Linked DNA regions of Coturnix japonica. The protein of the gene in region 6 purifies or fractionates together with the protein of the main gene of each other region. This does not show direct contact. Links are inferred from orthologs where the notes say so. Each region holds a gene or a part of one and is shown on either strand. Other genes may lie near its edges. The genes, in order: UPF1, EDC4, BAG4, DDX6, PNRC1 and DCP1A.

Region 1 (4,174 bases), on a different chromosome or scaffold from region 6:
GCAGCGCCTTATAATATGCTGTGCTTGTTTGATCTGCCTTTCAAAACAAGGGAAGGCGCGTTACTGAGAGCATCCAGCCTCACAGCAGCACAGACTGAGCTGTTTCACAACGGTTCCCCATGCTCAGGGCAGCCACCAAATGGACTCACAGCAAGAGCATGGGAGAATGTGCTTCCTCCTCCTTACCAGAGCTGAGTCCTGGCCTGAGGGAGCAGGGAAACGCCGTGGAAACGATCAGAATTTATCTTAATCCAAATCAAATATGCTAATTAGCTTGTCTTAATCATCAGAAAACTGTATTTCCATTGCTTATAGAAAACAGCAGGCGCTGCTCCTGCACTGCTTAACCTCTGCCTGCCTTTTGTCACTCAGGCACTAATCTGTGCTAACAGCATCCTCTTAAGCTATTAGTTAAGAATATGCTGAGGAACAAAGCTTTCAACGTTCAATGAACCCCATTTTCTGAAGAAATGAAGGGATCTGCACTGCTCAACTCATCTTATTTCAGTCCACAGGGTACAAAAAAGGCATCAGAAAATGGAACGGGAGTTAATATCCCTTCAATGTTTATCAGGATAAGATTTACTCACAATCACAGTAAAAACTTAAGCTAGGCAAAAACGTATGCAACCTGTGAGGCTTAAATTTAGCCGTGTTCCTTCCAAAAGGCATTAACGAGCTCACATCATCTATTCAAGGTAGTAAAACCTCCCTGAGAATCCTTCAAATGGTCTATTTCTGATCTCAGTGCTGATGAGAACATTGAAAAGCAAAGGTCCAAACAGAGCAGGGGCTGTTGGGTTACAATGAGCTCCAACATCACACTCACTGTGCTCCTGAGTCCTTGTTGGAACAGCTTCCCCCATCCCAAATTCAGAGAGTATGGGGATAACTGCAAAACTCTGCCCTGAACTAAAAGCACTCAGCCATTCCCAGCCATTACCAACATCCTCTGCTTCCTGCCTGCCAGGACGGATGCTTACAGACACGCTCATACCTGGATGTGCTCCCCACATCTTCCTTTTTCCCCTTCTTACTTCAAAGGCTTTTCAAACATGTTTAGACAAAAAGAGAAGCAATCCTCTGGCCTCATCTTTTACACTCATAGACTCATTTTGGGGTGGTTTTTCTTCCTCTTCTGTCTAGGCACCTCTATACTGAGAGTTCTGGAATGATCAGAGCTTTAAAAACTAGGATTTCAATCCTAATATCTTTTTAATCAATTAACACATAACACTGACTACAAACAAACCGCTTAACAACTGCAATTCAAACGGGAAAAAGGGCTGTTTTGCCCCAACAGAGCTACAAGTCAACACACAACAAAGCAAACAGCCCACGGGAGCTCAGCTCTAATTCCACACCATGAACACTGCCCTAAAGGGAGTTCCAACACAGCACCATATCTGGGCCCACCTGCACTGCACACCTGAAGGCTGCCAGCCATTCACTGCTCTAAGTTTGCTCATTTCTGTGTCATTTACAGATCAGCCTTGGAAAAATGAAGTTAAAGAACTGAATCCCCCCCCAAGTGTTTTTGAAGCAGGATGAAGAGCTTTGATCTACAGCACTTCAACTCCTCTAAAGGCACATCCTGGAACGCAATTTACAAACAATTGTTAACGCTGAGATCACTTAATATAACAATATATCCTAAGATATACAAAAGCAGTCCAGCTCTAAACAGAGCACAAAACAGCCTCTCAGGTGTTTTTGGGCTTCTTTTTTCTTGCTTTAGTCAATCAAGCAGCGTTTCCTTTTACAACACTTCTTGGTTTCTGGCTGCACGGCCCCAGTTCCCTCTTTCCTTCCGCATCTGGGAACTTTTTAAACCAGAAACGCGGCCCTCATCAGGCAGCGTTAAGAATACTCCTATTTCTCAGCCTCGACCAGCTCCGCACACCAACCAACACCAATGGGGCGCTATGGGCTGTCACTGCCCTACAACCCCAACAAACAAAGCCGCCTGGCAACCGGTGGCAAAAAGGCAAGAAGGATCTCTTGGGAAGGAACGCTCCGTTTTCACAACATTCAACACCTCGTAACTCAAACAAGAAAACAAACCCAAATCCTCCCTCCTGGGCAGCGCTCCTCGCTCCATATCGCGACTATCGGGATATGCACGGCGATATCGCGACTATCACGACACTATCACGACATTTAACCGTAGGCCCCGCCGCCTCCTTCCGCCTCCCGCCCAGTGTTTCCCCGCTCGGCCCCACACCCGCCCGCCCCTTCCGCGCTCCCCCCGGTGGCGGCACCGCCTCACCCCACCCCGCTCCCCCCCCTCACCCCGCGGCTCGGCCTCACCTGGGCCTCGATGGGGCCTGCAGGGCCCTGCCCCGCTCCCGGAGCTCCTTGGGCCTGGCCGGGCCCCGCCTGCCCGGCTCCGGGCGGGGTTTGAGTTTGGCTGGGGAGGGTGAAGTCGGTGAATTCGAACTCGGATCCTTGAGTGTCGGCACCGAGCAGCTCGGCCTCCTCCGTATCCAGGAAGGTGAGGGTCTGCGAGCTGGGGCCGTACGCTTCCACGCTCATGGCGGCGGTAGAGAAGAGAAGCGGCGCTTCGGGCCGGGCCGCGCCTCACGGAGCCCGGGCGCCGCGCTACGACAGCGGCGGGATCAGCCGCGAGCACTAGGCCGCACCCCGGAAAACCGGCCTTTAAAGAATCCCCCGACGCCCCGTTCGGGCGGCTCCGAGTCGACGGGAGGAAGGAGCCGAAGGAGGGAACCGAGAGTCCCCGGAGGAGCTGAGAGAGGAACCGTCCGGCCGCACCGCGCGCCAGGCCAGGCCAGGAGCGGTGACGCGGAGCGCGCAGCGGACGCCAGCACGCCCCGTGCGCGTGGGCGGGTGACGCAGCACGCACACACCTGGGAGGGCACGGCGTGAGGGGGCGGGGCTACGCGCGGAAGGCGCGAAGAGGGGAGCGAACCACCTGAAGTGTGGGGGGGGATTGAGGGGAGGACGCGGTGCGGGCGCTGTCAGTTCGAGCCTAAAGGAGGGGTTGCACCCCCCCCCACTACAAAATGGGCTCTACCGAGAGGGGGCGGGGCCTGATTGATGATTGACTGCTGATTCAGCCAATGAGCCCTCGAGCTGAGGAGAAGGGCGGGCTGCGGTGGCAGCCTTAAGATCTACCTCAGATCTGCTGTGGCAGCGAGGTGTTGTGTCTGTGGTGGGGAGGTATACTGTAATGTTCTGAAGCAGGTGATTAAGAAGGCTCTGGTGTTATAGAAACACCTGCTCCAGCTGTAATATCCATCGTATCTAAGCTGCCCTGCGTGGCTGTGGTACTTGGGGGCTGAATGGGAGCAGGGCGGCCTGTGAGGCTCCCTGTGTTGTGTGGGTATGAGCAGTATATGGTCAGGCCGTAAATAAAGTGCTCATTTGGGCTTTATATGCCCTCAATGTACTTCAATTAGCATCAATTCAATTAGCATCACACTCATGTCTTTTAAGGTAACACCCAGGTGTTGTGAGAAGTGCTGATAGGAGAAGCTATTTTCTCTATTGAAAATAGAGAAAAACAATAAAAAAATAGAGAAAACAATATTGAAAATATTGCAAATATATTGAAAATAGAGAAAATATTGTTGTGTTTTCTCTATTGAAACCTTCAGCCATAACATGCACGTGAACGTTGGTTTTTTAAGTGACTTTAATTCTGTTCTTGCTTTTGTTGCAGGGTAAAGCTTGGAATGGAAACAACATCTGCCACATTTAAAGCTTTGAAGCTGAAAAGATTGAAATGAGGATTGGGAAAGATTTCAATGCTCTGAGTACAGGAGGGGGAAACAAAGATGGAGAGAATACAGGACTCACTGCATCTACTTCCATATGGTTTGTGTTCACGTTGAGCTTGAAGCTATGAAGGAACAGACTTAGCAGTAGGTAATCATAGATGTATCTTAATTCATTAAAGTAGGTTAATTAAGCAAAAAAAAAAAACAAGAAAAAATAAATTTGGTTGTAAATTTACAACTGTCAAATCAGCTACAATTTAATGTGGTGGCATCAAGGTAAGTAAGTGTACACCCATATATAATTTCATACAGTACATTGAGACTTTTGATTCCTGAAGTTGAATCACAGCTACATTAAACCCACTTGTAGTGTGACTATAAAGCATCCACAGGTGAACTGAATTGATATTTCCTTAAAACCAGAAATGATCTGG
Region 2 (3,500 bases), on a different chromosome or scaffold from region 6:
GGTGGTAGGAAAAGCCTCATTAAACGTACTGGGGCTCTTCTCCATCTGCTTAGCAGTGGAAGCACAGGGATCACATGCAGAAAGGATACAGCTGGCATTTTCCAGAGGCGGATGCCAGTGTAAGACATGGGTGTTTCTTGGGGTATCTCTGCATTACCCTGAAGTCTCCTGTTTAATTTCTCAATTCAGGTCACACCGGGAAACTCCTCTCTAGCGCTGGAGCTGCAAGAAGTGGAGCCTTTGGTGGTGCCTCAGGCATCTCCCACCCGTGAGCGTTCGCCGGACGTCATTTCCTCTGCTTCCACAGCCATGTCCCAGGATATCCCCGAGATCGCTTCTGAGACCTTGCAGCGTAGCTTTGCAGCAGCTCCATCTGCGCTCTCTGCAGAGGTGCTGGAGCCCAGTCATCACGCAGACAGTATGGCATCTGCAGCCTCAGCCTTGCATTTGCTGTCTCCAAGGAACCGGCACAATTCAGAGCACAGCCACCACTCTTTGGACATGCCTCCAGTGGAGGTGGACAGACTGAATGCTCCGTCGTTACTGGAGACCGCTCTAACTCAGGAAAATGCGTCTTTGGACAGTGTTGTGAGTCAGCCATGGCCAGCAGCTCCTGACATAACCAGAGAAACCAGGAACAGCATGGCAGACAGGTAATCACTCAGATGTGTCTTGCTTAGGATGGTTTCTTTGTGCTTTTCAAGCTGCTGGCTTGATGAAAAAGTCTCTTGTTAAAGAAGAGTTTTCCATCCCTTCTTTTCTTTAAAGAATCTGGTGATTCAACCTTTCCATGTGCCTGGTCTTTATAGGCTACATCCTGCATTTTCTAGGCCAGTTCTATCAGTTTGTGCTCTTTGACACTTTTAAGCACAAAGGATATCTGCTAAGAAGGTGAGATCTGTTTTCCTGGCCTTCATGTTTACCTTGAATAGAGACTTCAGCCGGATTTTTTACTTTTTTAGTACATTGTTTCTGGAAAGAAAGCTGGCTCAAGCTAAAATTCATCTCAAGTGATCTCCCTGTATGCTCTTATTGAAAACAGTCAGCACATAATCGACAGATTGATCATAGGTTACTTTATCTCTCTTCTGTGATTGGCTTTCTGCAGCTAGTATTATAAATAAGGTACTTTAGAAGTGAGGAAATGCAGGACATCAGCTCAGCTGAGCAGGCAGAATGGGGCAGGGTCACATAGGCCTGCTCACAGGAAGCAAACCATTACACTAGCAGCAGTGTTAGGATTCACTGCAGAATCAGTGTCCTCATCCTCTAATGGGGCTGGGACAGCGAGGTGACTCCAGAGTATCTCTAGGCTGCTGCTGCCTGCACCATAAGGGCCTTAGCACTAAGAGACTGTTGCTCAACCACACCATCAGCCTATGTTCAAGTGATAAGCATTCACTTCTGTTTGGAGATCCTGCTTGCTGAAGTCAAATAGACCTACTTTGTGGCTTAGGTGTATATGCAGTTTGCTTACAAAACTTTGGACTGAGTTCAGTGTTGCAAGAACTGAAAGACCTGGAGAAATTAGTGCCCACACACAGCACTTCTTGCTGCGCTCTGGATCTGTGCAGAGAGATCTTTTGCTTTTGTTGATTTTTGTGTTGGTTCTTCTATTACTTAATTTTCTATCTTCTGTCAGGGTCTCCCATGGGAAGCGGAGTAAGCAAATAACCAAGCTGAAAGACACTTTTCATGATGGTGTATATATGTTTTTTTCTTCCTCTAGCCCAAGAGATGAGGTTGAAGAAAAGCACAAGAGCTCTTCCTATCATCGACACAGCTACCACCTCCTGCAGCATGACAGCCAGGATGCTAGTGCAGAACAAAGGTACAGGAGTGCTCAGCCCCCTCTCTCGCCCTGCATGGACTCTTTTCAGGCTGCATTCGTGCTTCTGTCCCCAGCAAGCCTTCACACGTGGGGTGAATGTCTTTGCTTTGTCTCCTGATTCAGTGTGTGTGCCTTCCAACTTCCATAATGTTTTGGTGCCTTCAGCTGATCATGACTGACCTCTGGACACTGTCCAGCTGACATTCTGGAGGGCAGGATTTGGCCTGTACTGCTCCTAAGAGCAGGGACTGAGCTTGATTTAGTTCCCAGTGCAACTCCATTAAGGGACCTGTTCCCAAATCCCTTGCTTTAGATAAGGTAGAGGAGATATCTTAGGAGTTAGCTTCTCACTTTTGCCATCTTTACTCCCTCACGAGCCACCCTGGAGCTCTGTGGGCATGTTCTGTGTGCCTGGTGAGCTCAGAGCCATTTGACAGCTGTGAGTTCATTCACAGTCCACTCTTCAGTTTGGAGTCTGTGTTGGATGGCTTGTCAGCAGCTGAAAGAATCTGAGCATCTCCCAGTTCCTAGGCTCAACCCAATTCTCCTGCAACACTTACTGCGTTAAGTGCTCTCTCTCTGTTAAGCTCTAAGGGCGTGCTATGCTTGGGTTCCCTGCTGGGTCAGCGGTTGCATCCTAGGGCTTCTATGCTAGTGTGTGCATGCAGCAGGAAGAGGCACCAGCAGCCACTCTGCCTGAACAGCAGCTCTGAGTAATGCAGAGACCCTTCAAATCCTGTCACGCAGCACTTGAGCTCTGCCTGAGCAGGCCTGGATGAAAATGAAGTGGCCTCTGCAGAGGTCTGTGCATTAGAGATTGAATGTGACAGGTGTCCTTAACTGAGTGACCCTGGATGTGTGTGGATGCAGAGCAATGTGAACTCCCCTCCTTTTAGTGCAGGCTGACAGCGTGCTGTACTGCAAGTGATGTCCTCTCCCCTGCTGTTCCTTCATAGTGACCATGATGATGAAGTTGCAAGTTTGGCTTCTACATCAGGTGGATTTGGTGCCAAAGCATCCACGCAGAGGCTGCCTGTGAAGGACTGGAAAGCCAAGGCATCCCCTCGGGCTTCCCCAAAGCTAAAGCGGAAGGGCAAGAAAGATGACGGGTATGCTGGGCTTGCCAGGGAACTGATGGCTGTGGGACCAGCTGTGCAGGGCCTGACAGAGCTGTTAGCAGCAAGGCTGGGCTGTGGCCAGGAGCTCCCAGCCTCGGTCCAGTTTTGCAAATAGGAGCAACCCCACAGAAAGCATTGCTGGGTTCGCTTAGGGATGTGGGAGGAGGTTCTGCTTTACTCAGAGCCCAAAGTGCAGCAGAGAAATTTATGGTAGGTAAATCACAGAACTGTACATTGGTGGGGGAACACTGGATGCGTTTGCCAGCTTCATTGGAACTGTGACACTGTAGCTTAATATGGCCTCAGTTTCTGGTTGGCTTTTGAGTGCTGGCACAGTGCCCCCTGTTCAACAACATCGATCCTTTGTTACCTGCTTGCTGCTTCTGTGTGTTTCTAAACATGCCCATATGAATGTCTTGCAAGAGAAAATGGATGACTGGAAGGAGCTGCCCATTAGAAATTAGAGCAACCCGTCTGTATTAACGAGGGGGAAAGTAGCACAGCTTCTGCAAGGGGCTTTTCTCCTCTTGTGCTCTCTTGGCTCCCTGATT
Region 3 (4,115 bases), on a different chromosome or scaffold from region 6:
AGAGACCTTCATCTCTGAACAGAAATTGCTGCACCCCCCGGAGCATCCAGTTACCTCCGAGGGTTCCCCATTGCCATCACTCCTTTTTTCCCCTCAAGGGGGAACAGAAGCCATGATTTCAGTGCCTGCACCACTCAGCATTGCCATCCCATCAGTACTCATCCAACGTGTCAGCCCTGGGCACCGCCAGGCCTCTCTCCTTCAACGCCTGCACCTTCAGCTTCTCCGACTCCTGCTTGGCTTGCAGCTCCAACCTTTGCTCCTCCAGGATCTCCTCGATGGAAACCTGCTGCAGCAACGTGTCGCTCTCCTTCTCCAGGTCCTGCAAAGCAAAGAGCTGTTGTTAAGCAGAGCTGCAGGGTGAGGGGCTGCAGGGCACGGGGCTCACTCACAATCTCCCCCAGCAGCACCACGTTCTCCCCTCTCACAACGAAGATCCCTCGAGGGATGTCCCCATATTTCTTGCCCACGTGAATTCGCTCCACTGTCTGATGCAGCACCAGGTTGGCTGTGGGGATAGAGAAAAAAACACCCCGTTTTTAACCAGTTTTTTACCAAAACCACCCAGTTTTTCACCAAACAGAGCACCTCACCTGAAACAACCCATAGCCTAAAGCATAGGGAGCAGCTGGATTGCATTATAGCACTATAATCCTATATGCTGAGCATCCCCTAAACAACATGATCCCCCAAACCCAGCCACTATAGGACCCCAAAGCAGCCACTACCTATAGCTGATAAAGGGATCCCTGGTGCTATAGGGTAAAGAATGAGGGGCTCAGCTATAGGCACAAGTGAATGGGGAAGGGGGGAAAGGGGGGTAGGGAGAAGAGGGGTAAAGGGAGGTAAAGACTGGGGGGCTCAGCCATAGGCACAAGTCAATGGGGGGATGAACTTAGTGCTGCCCTAAGGGGGGAATATAACATGGGGTGGGGGTCCAACATGACAAGGGATGGGGGAACCACAAACTGGGTTCCTATCGGAGCCATATGGGTTCTATTAAGCCCTGATCCGGTGTCGTTCCCGGTGCTGCCCCCCCTATCCCCCCCCATTATATCCGTACCGAACTGATCGATGCTGCGTAGGAATCCGATCAGCGTCCGGCCGTCCCGCAGCAGAACCAGGTGTTTCTCTATGGGGAAAGGGATCAAGCGGGGGTACGGAACATCGGTCCCAATGGGAACCAAGGGGAAAACCGGGGTCCCCCGCGTCCGGGTCCCGGTTTTCCCCTTGGTTCCTTATTGAATGAATAGAACCTCGGTCACACTCACTGTCAATGTCCTGGATGAGGCTTGCAGTACCCGGCATGTAGTTCATGGTGGCGGAACCGCCCCACGTTGGGCGGTACTTAGCGATGCACTGTCCCTTTAAAAGCGGCGCCGGTAGTGCGAGCGGGGCTGCCTTTCATTGGTTACATCCAGGGGTCCTCGCATCCTATTGGTCGCATGGTGGGGGCCTTTTATCCTTGTGTCGCGCTGTGGGGTGGGCTACAGCGTGCCGGGTTGAAAACATGGAGCACCGCGGTCGTACCGGGCAGGTAAAGGGGGGGGGGGAACCGAGCACAGCCCGTTATCCCGTTATCACTGCTCCATATAATGGGGTTTTTCCTTATAGGAGCCACCAGGCCCCGGCTTCAACCCCGGTTATTGGAGCCCAGCGTTCGGTTTTGGGGCCTACACCGACGGAGCGGACTCGGTATGTTGGGTTTGGGGGATGAGGGTCCATTTCCATCCCCCTCCCGTCCATTAAGGCTTTGACCGAGCTGTGCTTCATTTCTATGCCATAGGATACAATGGGCTTCAAGCCCCACTTGTTTCCTACAGCTCAGTACAGAAATAACCCATTAAATATCCTAACACACATTTCAGCTCATTTTCTTTCTCTTTTTCCCTTTTCTCCTCCCCAGGCTATGGACTCACCCTACACCAACGGATCCTACAGCGCCCCATACCCTCCCCATTACACCTCACTGCCACAAACACGAACCTACAGCACTTCAGGTCCATCCTACAGCACCGACAGCTCAGCCCCATATCGACCCCCCCCTCCTGCCCCTCCCTGGGGCTGTGGCACACAGGACTGCCCAGCAGAGGGATGCTCAATGCGCAGGCAAAAGGCTGCTGGGTATTCCCCACCGCAGGTAAGAAACCATTTAGGGTGTGCACAGCAAAGCGAGAGCTCCTGTGCTGCTCACCCCATAGAGGGTGAACCCACAGTGCACCCTAATTGGGCCCAAATGGCTTCTATGTCCCACCCAGCTCGCCCTGCTTGCTCTTGTAAGAACTTGGAGTTGCCCCTTTCTGCTGGGAGCTCTGAGGTCACGAGCTTTGGAGCAGAAAGCAGCAGCAGTCCCAGTGCTGGGGCTCATCCCAGTGCTGGGGCTCATCCCAGAGCTTCCTTCTGCCACAGGCATTGGGAGCTGACTTAGGACTTACATCTGTCCCCCTCTCCCCACAGACCCCAGGGATGCCCGTTCCTCAGTATCCATATGGAGACCACAGCCCCGGGGCCAACCCACAGCCCAGGGCTCAGGAGGAGGCGTGGGCTCCCCCTCACTATGGGGTGCAGGCACGGTATGCATGGCCTGCAGCTCCAGCACATGGGAATCCATTCCTCTCTGAATCACAACCACCCTGGACTGGCAGCAGGACTGCAGCTCATCCTCCTGTGTGGGACTCGAAGGTACAGTGATGCTTTAATGGCTCTGACACAAAGATTCTGGCTGTAGCCAGAGCTCAGCTCATGCTGCCTTCCCCCGCAATACACACATGCAGCTGCTCAGTGCTCCTTTCTCCAAGCACAGTTTGCTTCCAGGAGACAAAAACAAAGCAGCGGTTCTAAGTACTGCCAGCAAAATCACCTGCTTATATATCCAAACTGCCATTGAAGAAAGCACTGGAGATAGCAGACCCTGAGAGGCGGGTCTTGAAGTGGAGCAGATCTCATTTAATGCCTCTGTAATGTAGACTCTTTTTTTTCCCCTTCTGATTGTAGGAATCTGCTTATGACAAACCTGATCCGAGTGCAAACCAACACTGCTACTATTCTGACAGCAATCACCAGCACCCTGGGACAATGAATGACCACAAACCACCCTCCCTGCTGCATAACTCCAAGTCATCTCCCTCCAACCCCAAGGTACAATACAGTGCACAGCCCCAGATGTACAACAGTGCAACTCGGAGGCAGCTGGCTGGGAACCAGGAGGCAGGTTGCAAAGCTGGCAATCACACTGCAATGAATTCTGCAGCCATCCAGCCAGAGATACAGAGGATCCTACAGGTCACAGAGCAGGCTGAAGAGTTAGAACAAGAGGTGGATGAATTTGTAGGGAAAAAGACAGATAAATCCTACAGGCTTCTGGAGGAGATGCTGACCAAGCTGCTGTTAGAACTGGATTCCATTGAGACTGGTGGGCAGGATGGTGTCCGACAGGCCAGGAAAGAAGCTGTCCATAGAATTCAGGCCATACTGGAAAAACTGGAAAGGAAAGGATTGTGAAAGCAAATCAGCCACAATGCAGCCTGTTGTGGAGGTTCCAAAGAGTTAATCCAAATCTCAGCTCTTTCTGCTAAGCACTACTGATAATGAGAAAGCAATAAGACTTGATTGAAAAGAAGAAACAACCCTAAACCCACAGGAAAGCCCAGCCCCGACCAACAGCTCAGCATTGGACCAATGAAGAGAAGATGAAAGCAGCAAATTGAGTTGTTTGCTCTGGGATGTGAAGAAGCAGCACCACCTGAAGGTGTTTAGCACTGGGTTGTCTGTGTCCTTCATCCAGCAAGAAGAAAATCACTGCACAAAGTTCCCCAAACCGGGTCCAAATCCACCCAAATCCATGGTACCTCGTGGAGCCACAGCTGCAGCACTTGTCACATGCATCACCATAAATGAAGGTCCATCAGTGCGTGTGCTTTCAGCTTCAGATCCCTTACCCACAAAAGCTGGTTTGTGTCATCCCGGGGTTCTCTTTTTGTTTCCAATGCGCTCCCTGTAGCTCTGCTGATGTGAAGCTGTTCTGTGATGCCGTGTGGATGTGGGAACATAGCCTGGAACTCTGAGTTTTTCACCTGGAAAAGCCAGTTGCAGGCAGAGCCGTGCAGCCCTGGACA
Region 4 (3,500 bases), on a different chromosome or scaffold from region 6:
GAGGGGAACTTTGACCTGAAACCAAAAACGGCTGTTGATTCCTCGGGCTGTGTCGGAAAGGTGATGTTCTGAATGGTCTCATAGCATAAGGCACTTTGCACGAATAAGTAAGAAGCTCTTTAGCTTAAAAACAGATGAGTAACCAGGGAGAAGTTGAAATGCACTCAGTAGATGGTTGGAGAATTTGAAATCGCAGACAAGCTCGTGTTCAAAGATTCTTCTCTTTTCAGGGTTTCTCTTCTTCCCTTGCTGCCCCTCCCACCCAAAGAAAAAACAATTTAAAACCAGCAGTTAGTGCAACTAATGTTCAATCAGCACACAGTGCAAACGAGTGGAAAAACAAAAAGCCATTCCTCCTTTCATCTTCTTTCTTCCTTGCTGCCAAATTTGAAAAGAAAAAAGGCCGAGCTCTTTAGTCTTCATAGTTCCAAAATGAAAAGACGAAGAAAAACCCACAAAGAGAAGGGTATCCCCAGAGAAATGATGTGTCACAGATGTGGATCAAAGGGCTTCACCTTCTGGCATATGTAGTCAAAGCCTGAATATATAAATACACAAATAACACCTGCAATTAAGTCAGGTTCTGGTTTTGCACAGAGCTAAGAAATGAATCATGCTGACTGCAGGGCAGCTCCTGAGAAGCCGCCGGCATTGGATGCAGTTCGAGAACTGTCCCTCTGATGTGCCACTATGACCCAACTTCTCCCCCCAAGGAAGCCGCCCAAGGACCTTGCCCAGCTTCACAGTTTGATTTGCTTTATTTATTTTAAAACATGGAGAAAGCTCAGCCAGCAAAGCAGAGGCCACAAGTCACCTGGACATGACCAGCTGGCTGGGGCTAGCCTTGAGTTATTCCAAAGAGATACAGGTTTTGCTTTAATTCTCATTTTAATTAACAGACTGTTTCTTTGGCAATTTTTTTGTTAACTGAGAGTAATTGCAGCAGCTTCATTAGAATTCTTAATTCATGATCTCTAAGACAAGATGCACTACAAAACTCCTTTCAACCCAAATGGTCTGTAGCATCTCAGCTAGTAACAGATGAAATATTACCCTCTATTTGCTGTGAGAATAACAGCTTCCTTGGATTGTGAACTGACTCAGCCTTTTTTTTCCCCTCAGACAGCAATCAAAAAGTCACACTTCCAAAGTCCTTGCCAGAGAAGCCTCATTTTCTTTTAATGCTATGTAGACCTCAAGTGGCAATGAAGATGAATTACAGCTCTGCTACCTACTCAGCTTACTTGCAGAAGTTCTATGAATCAAAGAATGCAAAACAAATATGAGGCACCTATGGCTTGAACCTGCTCCTCTCAGCTGCTGAGATGAACAGGCTGTTCTGTTGGTGCTATGTTCTTAAGAGACCTATTTTTCACTCCTCACCTTCCTGATAATCACTTTCTGCCCCTACTGCTCAGCTAAGAAATACAGAAAGAACTCATTAGGCTGCTCACAGCCATCCTGTCACCAAGCAGGATTCTCCTCATCTCCTCTGACAGCCTATTTCAAACCTTTGTTTTCACATTCCAAGACTCTTCAGCACATCAGTTTCCCCTCTTCCCCCACAATGACATTCCAACACAACTACTCAAGTCAGCACATACGCACATGGTTACTGTTTCTCATCTTCTACAGGTTCACTGTGATATTCTGCCACGTAAAGGCTCTTGTCAATGTTGCTTGGTATGGGCTTTATTTCAGTTCCCAGCTGCTCCTCAATACTTTTCAGGTTGAATCGATCATCGTAGGTGATCAAGTTGATGGCCAGGCCAAGATGTCCAAAGCGACCTCAAAAAAGAAATTTAAACTGAGTAACAGGAGGTTAAATGAAAAGCCTGCAGATTCTGCAGGTGTTATTAACATCGCTTTCTCATTATAAAAGTCAACCTGGACCCCTGCAAGCTTCACATCAACATCTGATAAGGACTTTCTACTACCAAGTAAAAGTCTTCCACTACTGCAGTGTGGAACTTGAGGTAAACAGAGTTCCACTCTTCACTGTCATCATCAGGGATATATCTGGAAGCTGTCCAGACATCAGAAACAAACTTTGGAGCACAAGCAGAACAACAAACAAAACACACTATGCTTTAAAAAACACAGAAATTAAGTTTTCAATATAGAATCTTCCTAAACTGCAAACAATAAGCATTGGCGAGTTCCATGAAATTAAAGCAAAAGGTGCTTTTTTCCCTCATTTTCTTTTTATTTTTGGCCTAGGCTCTTCAAGCTCATTTAAAGAGCACGGCCATTAACTCAGGTATTTGTGAAGAAAATCCTATGCCATCATCCCTGTAAGTAAACATCAGAAAAAAAGCTATTCCAAATAATTATCAGTACAGTGATAGAAAGCAGAACCCAATCAAAGCATAAGGAATATTACAATTATCAGCAAAGCTGTCCCTAAAACATGTTTTTCCTCTCACCTGATCTGCCAATACGATGGAGATAAGTCTCTGCCAGCTTTGGAAAATCAAAGTTTATCACCACATTCACAGCTTGGATATCAATACCTCGGGTAAACAGATCTGAAAGACAACACAAGTCATGAAGAACATTAACTTCCATGAAATCTAATGCTGGGCTGGGAAATTTAGCCTTTGTGAATGTTGGTTAGCACTAGTTTCTAAAGACAAGCCCTTTCTGTGTATCAAAACATTTGACATAAATTCTGTTACAGCCTCTTCCTGCTCTTTATCCATGTTAAGCATAATAAAAACCGAATGATCAAGACATCAAATCTTCAGTTCTAGGTAAAAAAAATAATTCTCATGAAGCCAGTTTTTGCACTATTTTTGAGCCGGTCAGCTTTATATAAGCATCTTATCAAATAAGGCACACACTGTCATTTTACAACAGACTTGAAATGTGAGCTACGTCCCATCAACTGAACTATCTCTGTTTCATTTCAAGTGAGTTTTAGTAATGCAGCCAAGATACAACTCAGGCCATATACAGACCAATCAGAACTGCAAAGCATTTGGGAAGTGATGAAGAATCAGTAAATCATTATTCAATAATGCTAGCCACAGTTCTACCTACAGTTCTTCTACTATTTCATATCCAACAATTTATAGGACACTCAAATGTTAGAACATAAAGAAAACATAACTGAAGTACAAATTATCATCACAATGAAAGGATTTGTTAGCAAGCTGCACCACCACAGGTTGCCAAAAAGAGAAAGCCTGTATGCCTACAGATTTAGGCTGGATGTCAGGGAGAAGTTCTTTACTCTGAGAGTGGTATGTGGGCTGTGGCTGCCCCGACCCTGGAGGTGTTCAAGGCCAGGTTGGATGTGGCCCTGGGCAGCCTGGGCTGGTATTAAATGAGGAAGTTAGTGGCCCTGATTGTGGCGGGGGAGGGTAGTTGGAGATTCATGATCCTTGAGGTCCCTTCCAACCCGGGTCATTCTGCAATACAGGAGCACTGCAGCCCGCTACACACAGGTATGACAAAAATTCTCTTACTAAAACAGATTAGTTTTATCACTAAGCAGT
Region 5 (4,038 bases), on a different chromosome or scaffold from region 6:
ATACAAGGTCTACAATGTGAGCGCACACACCAGAACCAGCAATACTTAACACAAATACAGCTGAACGCTGGTTCTCTACTGAGCGTGCTAAGAAAGGAAACACTTAGGACCCTACTGGTTGTTTTCCACTTACATAACCTAACCTTCCTCATAAGCTAATGCCCAGAGATCACAGTATCACAGCCTCATGTGGGTTGGAAGGGACCTTAGAGATCATCGAGTCCAACCCCTGGGATTTGAGCCCTGTGTAGCAGAGCGGCACTTCTACCACTTGTGCCACAGGGGGGATTCAAACCCAGGCCTCCAGTGTTTGCAAAGCGGCCCTTCTACCACTGTGCCACTGGGGCAGGTTCTGTGAGCTATTGGATCTCTTCGCTACTTGGATAACTAAAGAATGACAAGGACAAAAGAAATATCAGTTACACATACAAAAAAGCAGCAACTTCAGTTCAAACACTTGAAGACACACACACAAGAAAAACAGAGACGTGACCTTAGGGGAGGCCAAATTGTTTTATTTAATTTTTTTAGTGACCAATTAAATTGATGGCAGGAAGCTCTGCTCTTTTCTTTTTTGTTCTCTTAAAAGAAATCAGCAGTGCTCAACGTGATGGCTTGGAATTCTACTCAAATTCCAGTTAATTTTGTTACAAACAGATAAACAGGAATTCCAGATACTGTTTTTTCTTTTTTTTTCCAGAGCAGAAAATTCACATTTGTAAGAAAATTCCATGTTTGTACTTGATTGGGACACAGAACATAGAACTATTGTCAGCAGTGCATGAATAAACCATTCACATTTGATCTGGAACCTTAACGTCAGCAAGCTGTACTCTCCGTTCAGAATATTCATTTACCTTGTGCAAATCAAGTCAAGTCTTCATGTGTCAAGCACACACGTAAAACTGTCCATGTTGTGTATATATATATACAAGACATCTACCACTCAGGCAGTGCAAAATACATCCTTTCATAACAAAACTAAAATGTACCTCTCAAAGTATCAACAAGAATATACACATAATACATGATGTACACTATTTACACAACCATAAAAAATATAATACAAGGAATTCTGTATGCGAGTATAAGACTTGACAGTCTTTCGTTTGTGGGTTGTTTTTTTTTTTTTAATTTTTTTTTTTAGTTTTTTTTTTGTTTGTTTGTTTGCAACAAGGCATGTGTAAGTTTCCTCGGATGGAGTTTTGCTTCATATTCAGAAGAGCTCGGAAACTACACCTGAACTTTGAGGAGAGTTTTCAGATGGACAGCCATCAACTCCCTGTTTTGGTCAGACAGCTCAGCTGTGCCCCCCACCCAGTGGCTGGGGGGCTTTGGAAGGACACTAGGGGATGGCGGGTCACTGAATTTTGCCCCGGCATAGTTTTCTTTTTGGTTCGCATCTGTGAGGGTGACGGGTTTCTTGGACTTGGCATTTCTGAAGTTCTCTGTGTTTTTAAGTGGCTTTTTCTCCTGCTTCTGAACGTTTTCCGGCGGGACCGAATCTTGCCAAAAGTTCTCAATCTTTTTCGCCGAGGCAATCTTTGTCATTGGCGTGTTACATTTACCCTTCTGCCTGTTCATCTTTGGCTGTTCACACAGATGTAAACCGTGAACGGGCTGGCCGTGGGGAGTGGCAGCCTTCTCAGTCTTTCCCATCTTGTTCTTCAAGAACTGAAGAGACAAAGAATTCGCGTCAGCACACGATCCCTCTCTGGATTCCAGAGGCGCCCGTGGCAACGAGCCTGGAAGGGCCAGGCTTCCCCGCGTCTTTACAACGGGTCCGTCACTAAGCGCCCCCTCGGACCCCTCACAGTCTGGTGCGGGTTGGAAGGGACCTCAGAGATCATCGAGTCCAACCCCCGGGGTTCGAGCCCTGTGTAGCAGAGCGGCACTTCTACCACTTGCTCCACAGGGGGCTTCACCTCCCGCCCCGCCCGCCATGTGGCGCTGCGCGCCCCGCACGTCCCGCCTCCGCGCGCAGGGGCAGCTGGCGCGCTGCCAGCAGGCTAAATCCGGCTGTTGCTGGGCGCAACGGCGGCCTCCTATTGGTGGAGGAAAGCAGCCAATCGCCGGCCGCGATTCCACTCGTCCCCCCCCCCCCTTCTCCCCGCACACAACGAACGTAACGGAAACTCAGTTCCCCCGCCCCTCACACAGCGCAGGGGAGGGGGGTGTGCCGCCCCCTGCCCCGCACCCCAACCGAGCAGGGAACGAAGCGCTTTGATTAAAGTCCCAAAGTCTCCGAGCCCCTTCTTACCTCCTTCCTGAGGGCGGGTCTGGAGGGGGTGGGTGCGAGGGACTCCTCGGCGGGGGTCGGCACGAAGCCGGGAGCGGTGGAGATATCCGAGGCGACGGGAGCGCCCAGCGCCGTCCTCCTGGCCAGCCCGGCGCGGTGCTGCTGGAACTGCTGGTAGCGGCTGGGCAGGAGCCCCGCGGGGCACGGCCGGATCTTGCCCTTCCTCCTCCTCACCCTCTTGAGCGCGGGCCGCGCGCCGCCCCCCGGCCCCGTTGTGCAGCAGCCGGGCTGGTTCTCACAGTTGTCGTCCCCCCGCCTGAGGTGCTGCAGGAGCGTCGAGGGCAGCCGACGGGGGTCTTCGGTGCCCGCCGAGATCCGGGTCAGGAAGGGCGGCGGCGCCGTGCTGGTAACCATGGTGGGACGTGGGTACCCAGAGCTGTGAACGGGAGAGGGGTCGAGCCCGGGTAGGGGACGAGCGGCTCGGGTCGCTGTGGGCTGTCGGCCCGGGCTTTGTGGGCTGAGATGGTGTCGCGGTGGGATCGGCCGCTAGGAGAACATGGCGGGGAGTGAGCCGAGCGGCCGGCGGCGCCCTGTGTTGTTACACGGGATGGACACGCCCTTTTCCGCCCTCCAGCCAATCGCCGCGCGAGAAAGGGGAGAGCGGCGCGCCTCTCCGCCGGGCTCCGCCAATCGCAGCCGACCGGCCGCGGCTCCGGTCCCGCCCCGACCAATCGGAAGCGACACAAACACTCGCGGCTCCGCCCGCTTCCGCAGGCCGCCCAATGGGAGCGGACACAAACAGCGGGCACGGCCCAGGCTCCGAGTCACGGGCTGGAAACGCCAAGCGAACGGACGGGGCGAGCGCTGCCCCTGCTGAGCGACAACAGCCAATCGGGAGCGGCGCTAACGGCGTCGGCCCCGCCCCCTCGAGCCGCTCAGCCAATCGGAAGCGACGTAAACAGGCGGCCAAGCGCCCCCCGACGGGGGTGGAGGCGCGTACCCGGCCGGGCCCGTCATGGCGGCGCGGCCTAGTGCCGCTGCGGGACCGCCGGGCGACGACGGAGCGAGCCGGGACCAGCGCAGCTTGGAGGCGCTGAGCCTGGCCGCCGCCGGAGGAGCGGTGTCAGGGCGATCCCTGCCCGACGGGCGGCAGCTGCCGGAGGGGCGGAGGGCGACGCTGGCGAGCGCCCTGGAGCTGGAGGGCACGGTGCTGCGCGAGGGGCGGCTCACGCAGTTCGTGGCCAACAACCTGGAGCGGAGGATCCGGCTGAGCGGCGTCCCGCGGGCAGAGCAGCACTCGGCGGCGGCGGGAGGAGCCGGCTCCATCCCCGCCATCGACCCCGGGGCGCTGCAGGACGTGGTGGCGCTGGCCGGGCAGGTGGCGGCGCAGGTGGACGAGCTGCTGCGCAACGTGCACTGCGGGCTGCAGGCGCTCACGGCGCTCAGCGTCGGCTGCATCCAGACGTACCGCGACGGCGTGGAGAGCCTGGGAGAGGCGGCCGACCTCAGCATCCGCGCCATGTACGCGCTGGTGGCGCGTTGCGAGGAGCTGGACCGCGCCATGCAGCCCGTGCCCGCGCTGGCCAAGCGCATCCGAGACATGAAGGGCACGTTGGAGCGCCTCGAGGGGCTGTGCAAGTAGCGCTGCGCTCCGCATGGCCGCAGAGCTGAAGGCCGAGCCGACCCTAATCTGTCTTCGGAGGGAGAGCGCTCAGCTGAAGCGCTGCACGTCGCTTTAACTCCATTAAAGAATTTGGACTCCTGACGCCTTACGCTTTCTATTTATTGAGGGCTTGGAA
Region 6 (3,500 bases):
ACCAAAACTTTTTCTTTCTTAAACTGCAAAAGCATCCTTTAAAACCAGTATTGCTGGAAAAAGTTCAGACCTGAAGTTCTGTTACCTACCTTTGTATAACTTCATGAAATAAAAAGCTGTGGGTAAACCAACCCAGCAGCATAAGAAAATATAGTTAGAAATCTTTCTGATTTCAGATAGGAAAGAATGAGATCAAATTCTTACTTACATTACTGAACTATGAAATAATATATAAAAAGCAATAACATGTTAACTAGATAAATTTTAAAGCATGAAGAATGGACAAATAATTTGGAGAAGCCAAGAGAAGAGCATGCAATTGTTCCCCACCTGCATAGTTTTCAACACTGCAGTTACAACACAACTGAGGAATGAAATCCAAATAACATATGGTCCATCCTTAAGTTAAAAGGGAAACCAAGTATTTCAGTCAAATCAAACACTACAGAACAGGCAAGCAGTCTTCCAGTGGTGGTCTCTTACCTACACTTAACCTGAAAGAACCTCAACTTATAACAGAACTGTCCTGTCCTGTTGCTCAAAAATAATGTAATCATTGAAGATTTTGTGTATTTCTGATTCCACATTCTTAAAGAAAACATCCTTACTCACTTGGATATCTGTTTTATCAAACATGAAGCAGTAAGATTAATGGAATATTTAAAAGATGAACTGATGAGCATTAGCTAGAGTAATGTACTAAAGTACTCAGCAAATCACATTTTAAAACCCTTTGTTTAAAGGCTTAGCTACAAAGGCCTGGCTTCCAAATCCCCCTCTTCCCCACATCTGCCATCTTAATAACAAGGCATTCAGCTCCCACCTTAGAACCAAAACCAAGTCATGTTCTGGTGTGGTGTAGTGTACTATACTACATTGCTAGTTTAAGTAGTACATAGTCTGTAATCCTTGAATGGTGAATACAGCTAGGAACGAAAGCCAGAGCAAACATCTGCATGATCAAAAATGCAAATGAAAGCTCATATGTAAATTAAATCCCCTCCCCCAGTAAAAAGAAAGGTCTGCTGGTGATGATCACAGTGAAAACCTAAATCACTTCTGAGAACATTACCTTCTTAAAGTACTTAAGGAATAGTCTTTCCTAACAGGTTCAAATTCAAGACATTGAAAACTAAATATTCTTTTAAAAAAATATTAGTTTTATAGATGAGGCATAATTATTTCTGAAGTGGTAACATTCTAAGCAGATTTAGCTTCAATTATAGCTTAATGTTGTCTGTATTCTTGGTTAGGACTTGCAAGTAGACTTCATGGATAGTGCTGAGAAAACGGGAATCGTTCTGCAGGAAAACAAACAACAGAAGCATTAGTAAAAAGATATATATATATAAATAAAATTTAACTCAGTTTAAGTTGTTATTAAGATTTTTAATATACTGCTGTCTATCTGAGGGTTAGGGTAAAGGAACTGGCTGCCTACCTGTACAAAAGGCAGCACTGTATGGACAGCAGAGACTTTGAACCATGAAACTAAAGTGATTACTAAGCACAATGGATACTCAGATGAAAAAAAACCAGCAGCTCCAAGGTCAGCCCTAGCTACACAATTTCACTTTCTCCCATGAAGTGAACTTTCTTTGAGAAGAGTACGAAAACATCAAGACTTAGTAAATTCCATCCTGCATATAGACATCCACATAAAGGACGTAGAAGTGTCAAAAATCACGTGAGTTAGTTCTGCCTGCAAAATCAGCCTGAAAAGGATTGCACTGTGTTATATAAAAATTCCCACATTAAAGAATTACTGGGAAGTGAACTTGTTTTGTCTGTAAGAAAGCATTTGGAGATATTTCCTGAGTCCTACACTTTCAGATAGTAGGTAATTATCTAGGCTGAAGATGTAGTACTCTTTTCACAAAAATCTATATAGTGAATATATGTTTTCTCCTTGGAGCACTCTGCAAGTACTTCTGTGCTGTGGGGGTACAGTGACTGCTGCCTATATATAACTAACTATCTCTATATGTAAGGAGAAGACAAGAGACACTATTCCAGTCAGCTCTCTGAAGTCACCACAGCAACATTCTTCAGACCATTAATGTGAGAATCGCTAATGAGAACAGCAAAGACTTCTGACAACTGAACTCAGTTGCAAGACTTACAAGTAAGCTAGTTTCATATCTTTAAAAGAAAAAATACACACTAATATGCAAAAAACAACACATAAATCAAGCAATTTAAAATGATATTGGGGTCTGGTGTTGGCTCTTTTGATCGTAACTTTTTCATTGGGAAAATATTATTTGCTACTTCAGACCTGCATTTTGAGTGCAAGACCAAGCAACATCAGCATGGAGAAAGTTACAGAATCCTGAACTAAGAGAATGGCTGCCATCCATGGCCACTTCTACTTGTTGCTGATCTCTTCTACTACACTGCTGATCTCACTGTCTAGCTACTCCCAGCATTACAGATTTAATTCAACTGAACTTTTTAGTCACTAGGAATGGTACAATTAGAACTTTTTGTAACTTCTTCCAAACATACATAAATTAAAGATCAGGAACAGTTCAAGGTAAGTGGCAACAGGAAAGCTTTCCAAAGAAAAGCAAAAACACTCAAGAGAAACCCAGCCCTCCCCTCCTCATACTACTGCTTCTGTACATGTATCTTTTTCATCAAGTGTTCACAAATTGACAGGTGTGTGAAAGAATGCACCAAGCAGAGCTCTGTCCTTGCAAGTCACCCATCTTGCAATCAAAGGCTCAATACTGGCTACTGTACTTGTAACCCCACCCCTCACAGTTTTCTTCAGACAGGACCTTTATTAGATGTATCAGTGCTTCCTGAAGCTGAGACCTACTGAGAACAGTAGGAGGTACTGTCTGAAGTTCTGTTGTTCCAAGCGTTAAAGGCGATGAAGAATTGGCTTTATTTTCTGCTTCAGTAGGTTTTGTAGTTGACTGCTGAAAAACACTAGGAGACAGGAGGATTGAAGGAGTTACTGTAGTTGTGGCTGTAACAAACTGCGGAGGTGCAACCTGCAGGAAGAAAAGAAAGTTACTAAGGACTGTGTCCAGAAAGAATGAATGCTGTTAGAAAAAAAACTATAGGAATAAGCATAAACAAACTCAAAATTGTAGCTACTGTTACAGTAAATCAGAAAGGTATTGGGGAATGCTACTCACAATGAAGTGATTTACCAATTAACACAAGACAACAGTAATTCTCATCTTAGAAGCTAAGGAAGCTGTTAACCTTCAGTATTCTTACATGTAGACCCACTGCCATGTAGTTGCTACTTTTCACTTTGTTTTTCTAGCATATCACAGAAGGTGAGACAGACCTTCTCAAGATACTTTAAAATGACTGATTAACTATAATTAGAATATTCAAGCACACAATCTTTTTCATTCTAAGGCAACTGGATGAGAGAGTGAGAAAACAGGAAAATATTTTGACAGTCACCTTCCCCATCTCATCCTTCTACAGTTCTGTTTGACATTTTATTACAGAAATCCACTCTGAGGCTGTGAGGT

Evidence for each region.
Region 1: the proteins of DCP1A (region 6) and UPF1 purify together in Homo sapiens (co-immunoprecipitation; 4 studies listed by BioGRID and IntAct, with this or other methods). This does not show direct contact. The link is inferred for Coturnix japonica from reciprocal best matches to the Homo sapiens genes DCP1A and UPF1.
Region 2: the proteins of DCP1A (region 6) and EDC4 purify together in Homo sapiens (co-immunoprecipitation; 9 studies listed by BioGRID and IntAct, with this or other methods). This does not show direct contact. The link is inferred for Coturnix japonica from reciprocal best matches to the Homo sapiens genes DCP1A and EDC4.
Region 3: the proteins of DCP1A (region 6) and BAG4 purify together in Homo sapiens (affinity purification with mass spectrometry; 4 studies listed by BioGRID and IntAct, counting the BioPlex papers as one, with this or other methods). This does not show direct contact. The link is inferred for Coturnix japonica from reciprocal best matches to the Homo sapiens genes DCP1A and BAG4.
Region 4: the proteins of DCP1A (region 6) and DDX6 purify together in Homo sapiens (affinity purification with mass spectrometry; 8 studies listed by BioGRID and IntAct, counting the BioPlex papers as one, with this or other methods). This does not show direct contact. The link is inferred for Coturnix japonica from reciprocal best matches to the Homo sapiens genes DCP1A and DDX6.
Region 5: the proteins of DCP1A (region 6) and PNRC1 purify together in Homo sapiens (affinity purification with mass spectrometry; 3 studies listed by BioGRID and IntAct, with this or other methods). This does not show direct contact. The link is inferred for Coturnix japonica from reciprocal best matches to the Homo sapiens genes DCP1A and PNRC1.

Annotation. Positions count from the first base shown.
Region 1 is NC_029543.1:2,812,594-2,816,767, forward strand, and holds the start of UPF1 (regulator of nonsense transcripts 1), read right to left. Parts: upstream 2,801-4,174; 5' UTR 2,536-2,800; coding exon 2,311-2,535; intron 1,697-2,310; exon of another isoform or gene 1,487-1,696; intron 1-1,486. UniProt on the Homo sapiens protein: RNA-dependent helicase required for nonsense-mediated decay (NMD) of aberrant mRNAs containing premature stop codons and modulates the expression level of normal mRNAs.
Region 2 is NC_029526.1:1,600,966-1,604,465, reverse strand, and holds part of EDC4 (enhancer of mRNA-decapping protein 4), read left to right. Parts: intron 1-189; coding exon 190-653; intron 654-1,729; coding exon 1,730-1,831; intron 1,832-2,787; coding exon 2,788-2,940; intron 2,941-3,500. UniProt on the Homo sapiens protein: In the process of mRNA degradation, seems to play a role in mRNA decapping. Component of a complex containing DCP2 and DCP1A which functions in decapping of ARE-containing mRNAs. Promotes complex formation between DCP1A and DCP2.
Region 3 is NC_029537.1:3,645,528-3,649,642, forward strand, and holds the start of BAG4 (BAG family molecular chaperone regulator 4), read left to right. Parts: upstream 1-1,315; coding exon 1,316-1,537; intron 1,538-1,614; coding exon 1,615-1,695; intron 1,696-1,906; coding exon 1,907-2,140; intron 2,141-2,457; coding exon 2,458-2,682; intron 2,683-2,994; coding exon 2,995-3,501; 3' UTR 3,502-4,115. Other genes in the region: U6 snRNA-associated Sm-like protein LSm1, read right to left, coding at 152-322, 393-508, 1,064-1,132, 1,272-1,317. UniProt on the Homo sapiens protein: Inhibits the chaperone activity of HSP70/HSC70 by promoting substrate release. Prevents constitutive TNFRSF1A signaling. Negative regulator of PRKN translocation to damaged mitochondria.
Region 4 is NC_029539.1:4,829,464-4,832,963, forward strand, and holds part of DDX6 (probable ATP-dependent RNA helicase DDX6), read right to left. Parts: intron 2,529-3,500; coding exon 2,427-2,528; intron 1,789-2,426; coding exon 1,613-1,788; 3' UTR 1,609-1,612; intron 539-1,608; 3' UTR 1-538.
Region 5 is NC_029518.1:69,064,252-69,068,289, forward strand, and holds PNRC1 (proline-rich nuclear receptor coactivator 1), read right to left. Parts: upstream 2,801-4,038; 5' UTR 2,799-2,800; coding exon of another isoform or gene 2,762-2,798; 5' UTR 2,654-2,761; coding exon 2,261-2,653; intron 1,675-2,260; coding exon 1,234-1,674; 3' UTR 495-1,233; downstream 1-494. UniProt on the Homo sapiens protein: Nuclear receptor coactivator. May play a role in signal transduction.
Region 6 is NC_029527.1:4,957,762-4,961,261, forward strand, and holds part of DCP1A (mRNA-decapping enzyme 1A), read right to left. Parts: intron 3,003-3,500; coding exon 2,784-3,002; intron 1,302-2,783; coding exon 1,221-1,301; 3' UTR 1-1,220. UniProt on the Homo sapiens protein: Necessary for the degradation of mRNAs, both in normal mRNA turnover and in nonsense-mediated mRNA decay. Removes the 7-methyl guanine cap structure from mRNA molecules, yielding a 5'-phosphorylated mRNA fragment and 7m-GDP.